2 linked regions of the Drosophila melanogaster genome follow. The protein of the gene in region 1 interacts with the protein of each later gene in a pairwise test. Each region holds a gene or a part of one and is shown on either strand. Other genes may lie near its edges.

Region 1 (2,890 bases):
ACTCTTTTCACCGACTGTGTCCTCAAGCTGTAACTCAATCTGCTTTAGCAAATTAGCAACAATTTTAATGATTGAGGTGTAGTAAATAAACAGGTAGTTTAGCTTTGCATCGATTTCATTACATTACAAATGGGATTTGCAAAGTTAGTTTGGCAAATAACTCATTTAACTAAGATCCAATTTACACTGACTTGGCTTAATTTGTTTTAGTGTTTTGAGTTAGCTAAAATTAATTAAGACACTTTAGAAAATGTATAATATGTGTCTCAATAATAATAACTGTTGAAAAGTTGTATCAATGAGCTTTGTAAATAATTTCCTTTAGCCTCAGTTTTTCCAATAATACCTTTTTCTAAGAATCATTTATAAGAGTCGTTGGCCTGACTGCAGTCGCCATTACAAGTTGGTTTATGATGCAGCTTCCTGGGACTGGGAAACCGTTCTTCTTAGGGGTGAATTAATTAGCGAAGCAGTGAAAGGGGCATAAAGTTGTGCATTCAAGAAAGCTCTTCCACGTATTGCCAACATTTCCTCGGAGTCATGGTGTGGATGAGGTAGCTGCTGAAGGTCGTTCAAATAATGGCCCATTGAGCTTACCAATTCATTCATAATAAGAAATCTAGTTATTTTCTTAACCTAAATCGATGGTTCTGAACAGTAAGAAGTATTGTAAATGATCTTCTTCTTAAGCATCTCCCAAAAGGATAGAATTACCATTAATGTAATGTCCACTCTTTTTATGCTGCACCCTCTTTTCCCGTTTAACTTAAACATCGCGTATTAATTTCTGGTACATTTAGTACCTTAACGTTTTATTTCTTTAGGCATAGGACACTTTGGAAAGGTTCCTAGAATGGCAGGCAAGTGTGCCGGGCGTAATTGTAGTAGGCGTGGGGACCACAAGCCTTGTCCTCCGAGGTTTCCTGGCGTGTTGCTATCTGTGCATCCACAGAGCTGAGGGCCAGGCCCAGGAAGACTAGCAAGAAACCATTGAATACGTTCATCTTGTCGAGTAGTGCTGAATGATCGGCTGTGGCAGGTAGTGAGCTATTTATACCCGACTACACGTTGCAATTAATATGGATGCTACGTGATACGGCGTTAAGCTTGCCATTTAAGTTTTTCCGGCATTTAAATCCCATCACTTACGTAAGCTGTTCGCTCTAGTTTAACATTTCTCCGATGACCCTTTCTGTTGCGATGGCTCACTTGGCGTATGCTTGATGGCAAGTTGGATGCGTAAACAAGCGAAATGAGCAGTCCACAGACACACATTACCCATTTTCCCACCCGTCTCTCTTCAGATCTCTTCAGTCTTTCTAGCCGCTTTAAATTAGATTTCTGTTTGAACTTGCCAAGAGAATTGAGTTCCCGTCAAGCACCACATCATCACATGTAATACTCCGCACTTACTTGTTTAATCACTTGCACTTCGCACATCGAAGGAAATTCAATACGCACTTTTTACGGGCTGTGTTCAGTAAATAAATAGTTATTTTAGCTTTGCATCGATTACATTACATTACAAATGGGATTTGCAAAGTTAGTTTAGCTAATAACTAATTTAACTAAGATCCCATTTACCTTGCCTTGGCCTAATTTGTTTTAGTGTGTTTAGTCTTTTTAAGAGACTTTAGAAAACTTGTAATATGTGTTTCAATAATAATAACTGTTGAAAATTTGTATCAATGAGCTTTGTAATTAATTTCCTTAAGTCTCAGTTTTTCCCATAATACCTTTTTATAAGAATCAATTTACCCAACAAAAGTTTACAAAATTTGGTCTACTGATAAATCCCTTACTTAAGCTTTAAAAAATTACTTATTTAGATTGGAAGTGCCATTGACGTTTTTCACAGTTTTGCCATGCATTATAGTTGCAACTCTTTTTCGCCAGTTGGTAAGTATTTAAAAATTAAAAATTCAATTTGAAATGACGAACGCTGCCTTTCGGCAACTTCCCGCAACCACTTCAACCGATTTTCTCTTGCGTTTCCCAATGAATACTTAATATTCCTCTTTTCGGATAGAAAGCAAAAGCCGAAAAGGAAAATCGGAAAATCGGAAAATCGGTAAAACCCAGCTGAGTGACGACTGCTGCCCGGAGCTTACATGGAGACATAATTACCCAGAAAGTTGGACTTGAGTAGGGCACATGGGGCGCCCGAATGTGGGGCGCCATTATGTGTAAGCGGATAGCTTTATGCCCCGGAATTGCAAAAGAAGAACTTAATTTTTAAGAGCACAACTTAAACTTTAGCGAAGCAAACAATTTTTGTTCGTGGCGAACTTTTAGGAGCTCCTCCGACTCGAATTTAATTAATTACACGAAAAATGCAGAGGGGGGAAGCCACCGGTAGTTGCTTTATTTTGGCACGTGATAAATTAATTTAAGCCAGCTCGAAAGCAGTTCGCATAATGTATTTGCATACACATCGCGAGGCGACGTCAGGTGGCATAAAACTGGATCATTTGGGGGGCGGATGGCGTGGGCAGGTAGTGGACGCCCGAATAGGTTTAGGTTATCGAATTGGGCGTGGCATCAACTTAATTACGCTACGCACGGCAGCTAATTGAGTTCGTAGCCCAACGAAAAATAAAACGCCATTAGTCTTGACATTGGTACTCAGTTTCGCTTTTCGCTTGGCGATTACACGCCATTTCCATGGTCTCACTGTGGAATAAATATGAAATACTATGAATTTAAGAAGTTAACTTAATATTAAGAATGCATTTATTTAAGTAATACAAGAGCATACAATTGTTATCTACGAATGTGTAATGGTTCAAGCAACCAAAACCTTTGCTAGCTTTTGCATATAAAGGTTAAGTTCGTCAGTAGTCTTTATCAAATTGATTATAGCAAATTTAGTTTACGCATAAGTTATATG
Region 2 (5,002 bases), on another chromosome or scaffold:
CAACGGCAGCCAACCAATCTGAGATCTACGCCTACGGGTCTGTAGAGAGATTACTTTGCAGCGAGGGAGCCAAAGAAATCGAACGAAGCATTTTTGCTCATTAAATAAATCAGAAATTGCCTGGGCCTTTTGGAGTTTGCCCATAAAAGTCGAATTTCTCGACTTGGAGCGTTTCGTATGAATCAAATGCTTGAAATTTATGCAAATTGGGCGAAATGTTGGTCAAAATGTTGAGCAAAAATGTCACTCTTTGCAGGCCACGAGGAGTTCAGATTTCTTTTGATTTATCACTGCAAATTGTCAAATCTTTTAATGAATATAACACAAAGTAAGGAAATTAAGTAAGATCACGCAAACAGTTAACAGTGAGAGCTGCAAGTATTCGGTTCGAGTAGGGAAGCATGAGATCACGTCTTAAATTCAACGTGACACTAAAACATTCAGAATATTTACATTTTGAAATTATTCTGACTGATAAATGAGCATGAGCAAATTTTGGAGCATTAATATTTATATTATTTTGGCATTAACTAGTAGTATAAATATTTCAATGTAAATTTATACGTTTTCCAAGAAAAAATTATATGGGAATGCTCTACAAATAAATTATATTAAATGCACTGTATATTCTTCTGATTTGTATATGATTTTTAAAGCTCTTCTGAAAACCTTTATATTTATGTTTATTTTCTGGGTAACGATTATATCTCAACACAACTGTAGGCGCAGCACAAGATATCTGATCTTTTGGAACAATTAAGCCGCATCCACATTAAGTAACCGAGACAAAAAGCAGCCGCTGACCCAACTCTTGGATCTCAGATAGTTCTCCCCTCGCTGATCTACGTGATATATGTAGGTACATATAAACATATATATAAACATATATGTACATATATCTTTGCCCCTTTCATGCCGCCTGCAAATCAACGAAAAAGTTTAAAACAAACCGTGTTACGTGCCACAAGCGAACAACTATCAGATAAAACATGATCATAACAGCACATATAAAATTTTAACTATTTTCATGGCGGGCCAGTCTGAAATTTTATTGTTACGCTTGTGTAACAACAACAACAATAGCTGCAGCAGCAACAAATACAACCAAAAAGCAATAGGCCACAACAAGAACCAGTCACGTTATGAACAAATGAGTAAAGTTGAACAAAAACAACCAAGATAACTGCAATTGGTGGGACAAAAAGGGGGAAGCAGCCAGCCCCTCCAAAACAAAAAAAAAGGGAAGCGTGCAATTTCCAAATCACTCGCACAGAAAACGAAATTTATGAATGCCTCTTCAAGAGCAGAACCCCTCGAGTGAAGGTCAATATAACGGTGGGCCCATAAAAAGGTGCGATTAAAGAAAGAGTCAGCCAAATGGTAAACGTGCTGCCAGTCCGAATTTATTTCGAATGAGTGTGTGCAACTCGAAGAAGGCGGTAACTGCCATAGAACAGAAGTAACAGTCATTTAAGTTGCAGAAAAGCTGCTTCATAATAACTGTCGTAGGTCTTAACGATTTTCTTGAAATCATCAGTTGCAGTGACAAATGCAATAATTCAATATAATAGTTACAGATAGTGATGTCACCTTTTTATTGTTACATTTATCTAAAGCACAAATACCTTTACATTTCTATACGATATTTTAATACATTTTTAACTTTTTTTCTTACAGTGGTTAAAATCCTTTTGAAATTAGATTTTCATTGAAGAGTTTCGTGCCTTATATAATGCAAGGGTAACGCACCTCAATAAATGACCGTTTTCACAACCTGCTGACCATGACCATGATAGTCTGAGGAGGGGGGTCCAATTAACGGTGATCAAGGGTAAGGGTTAACTGCTAGCCCGACTTTGGTGCTACCAATTTGCGAGGGTGTCCATGGGTGAAGGTCAAATGGGGGACTATTAAAAGGTGTTTGCTGCTCAACACCACTTTGGCACTCGAGGGTTTTTACTTTAATTTAGTTAATTTTCCGGCCAATCAATCGCTGTGTACTGACCTTTTTTCCGTTGGCTGCAGTTTTCCGAAATTCGTTTAGTTTCGGCGCAATTTGTTTACTTTTGCAGTTTATCGTTGTGTGTTGTTGTTTTCTCCGGGAGTTTTTCGTTCAGTTTTCTTTCTCTTTTTTTTGGGTTGGGTAATTTTGGGGCCGAAAAAGGACGAGTTCTATATCGGGATTGCTCTTCCTCGCTCTCCTTCTCACACTCTCTCTCTCTCTCTTCCTTTTCGCTCCTTGCGCGCGCGCTCTCGCAAATTGATTTTCACTTTTGGCGATTGTCAAAAAGACGGCAACAGAAAAATAATAATAAAACGAACGGCGCAGGAATTTTCACTTGTGCCACTTTTTGCGGCCTCCGTTTATTTCACAGATATTACTCTTTTTTGTACTTTTTCACCTTTTATATTTTGTGTGTTTGCAGGGAAACGGGTTTACGTGGATTTTTTTTTTTCGGTTTTGGGGAAACAAGAAATTCCTACTGCGTTTTTTCCTCTCTTTTTCGTTTTCCTTACGTACGCCTTTTTCCTACCGACTTGTGCGTTTTTCTCCTTTGCCGAGAGGCTCACACACACTGGCAGACTCCCACACACAGACGCGCACGCACACACACAAACACATACGCACCGGCCAAACAACAAAAATTCTTTCGCTGTCTTTGATTTTTGTTTCTTTTCGTTTTTGGCTTTGATTTCTGCTGCTGCAGAGGCGAACCGGTTTTTGTTTTTATTATTTGTATTTTTCTACTTGTTTTTGCACTTCACATCGATCGGTTTCTCGTATCGGTTGATTCGTTAGCTGCAGTTGGCAGTTTAAAATTCTAATAATCACGGCGATTATTTTCAATTTTTATTTGGTCGAATTCGGTGCACCGTTATTTTGCACGCAGCCACCGTCGACTGTCTCGCTCCTTCTCGCTCGCACTCCTCTTGAGCCTGGACGAAAAAATCGCGCACAAAATCGTTTTGTGAAAATTATTCGAAAATTCGTTAGTATCAATATTGGTTTTTTCCCCGGCGACTTTAACGGTTACCGATGTGCTTTAAGCATTATTTTTTTAACAGATCACGCGAACACACATGCTGCACGAATCGCGGTTGAAAAAGCAATAACAAAAATCGTTGGAGAGCGCACTAGAGATGGCAAATGTTCGATTACAGGCCGATAACGTTGGGCTTACAGCTCTAGTTGGAGAGAGCGAGTTCGAATTCGATAAAAGAGCGGCTTCTGTTAACCGGTTGTGCCGTGAGGTTTGAGGCAGCACTTAGTTCTGATTGGAGTTCTGTATGACGGATTGCGCCCTGGCTAGAAAAATGTTCTACGAATTTAAAAATTGCAAATGCAATCAATGTTTATTATTTTACTTTAGTTTTTTATTCTGCGCTATGCCTCTTGATATCAATAGCTGCATCAGTACTGAAATAAAACACGATATTTAAAACTTTAACATTTAATTAAAATGTTCATTGACATTCCAAATTAGACATTCTAATCAGAACATAGCGCAGACTCCAACACGAAATGCTAACATGTAGTTCGAAGTCGACCGTTAACCGCTCTTCGAAATTTATTGCGCCGGATGTTGGGGCTATTTGCTTCTCTTAACAGCAGGCTAACATTTTCGGCGAACATTCGAGTTTTTTGCTGGCTGCTTTCGTCATTAGTTGGAAAACATCAAAAGCGTAGGAAAATCAAACGCCTCCGCAGAACTCCTCCCCCTTCAATTTCCCCTCGAGCACCTTGACTATTTTCTTGCACAAGTTCTGGGTCACTTGGGTATTTTTCCAGCATTTCTTAAGGTTTTTTCGCCGATTTCTTTTGGCTCTTCTGGCGCTCGAATCGTTTTTCATTTTCCTGACCCAAAGTGGGTGGTTGGGAGGTAGTGTGGGGGGCCACGTGTGGCTAATCCATAGCCTCTGTTGCTGTTGTTGTTGTTGCTTCGGGGAGCGACAGCTTTTCTTTGCCGGTCCATTGTTCCCAATTTCCTCGTTTGCTGTTTTTGTTATCCAAGGCTTATTTCCAAAGGCGCCTTAAGTTGTGGTTTTGTTTTTATTGCAAAAAACCTGAAAGTCCAAGTGTTTTTTTGCCCACTTTTATTGGTCCACAACGATTTGAAACTTGCTAATTGGCTACTTAAAAAATGCAAGTTATGACCATTTTAAGATACATCAAATAAACTTGTACCTAAATGTACAATTTTTTTACATAAATCATAAGATAAATTCCTAAATTGTACCTAAATGTACAGTTTTTTTACATAAATCATTACATCAATTCGTTGTTTTCGAACCTAAACACATTGTTTCGTATTACATTTGTCTAAGTCTACAAATAAGATAATATCTCGACTTTACCCAAATTTTTTTGTAATATTTGAAATCCTTTCCAGAAATAATCTCACATATGAAGTTTATGTAATTTCACCCCGTTTTAAACTCAAAACCATCACTCATTTGGCTTTCCTCGATATACCCAATTGACTTGATTTATGCAAAACTCCTCCGCTTTGCGAAAAACGAACATTTTCAATCATAAACGTGAGCCAAAAATGATGACGACCCCAGAGGTCAGTTTTAGTGCCAGTTCTCCTATTATGAAGAGAAGCAGGAGGTTTCGCATGGAAAATTAGGCAGTCGAAAAATGCAATTTCACTGATGCTACCGAGTTTTTCCTGTAATATCAACGTGCTCTTGCATTACGCGATAAATTCCACTTTTTTACCAATTTTCTTGCATTTTTATACGGGTGATTTTACACGAAATTAAAATAAAATAAAGAATTGATTTAGGAAATCCTGTCAAATTCAATGAGTTCTTTATGGATCCACAATTTGTTAAAACCCGCCCAGTTTTCCATTTTCATTTTTAGGTGCGTGCCAGCTTTACAGTTTGAGAGCCACATGCTGACATAGTTATTAGATGTTTCCAGTCAGTTGGGATTTATGAGCCATCTATTCCGATGCAACGTGTGCTTCTGGTGCAACATGCAGTATGCACGACA

The links.
Region 2: the proteins of Met75Ca (region 1) and Prosap interact in a two-hybrid assay, tested with the Drosophila melanogaster proteins (one large-scale study listed by BioGRID).

What each region holds. Positions count from the first base shown.
Region 1 is NT_037436.4:18,471,361-18,474,250, forward strand, and holds Met75Ca (Met75Ca), read right to left. Parts: upstream 1,025-2,890; 5' UTR 1,005-1,024; coding exon 849-1,004; 3' UTR 783-848; downstream 1-782.
Region 2 is NT_033778.4:14,137,784-14,142,785, forward strand, and holds the start of Prosap (prosap), read right to left. Parts: upstream 3,120-5,002; 5' UTR 2,006-3,119; intron 1-2,005.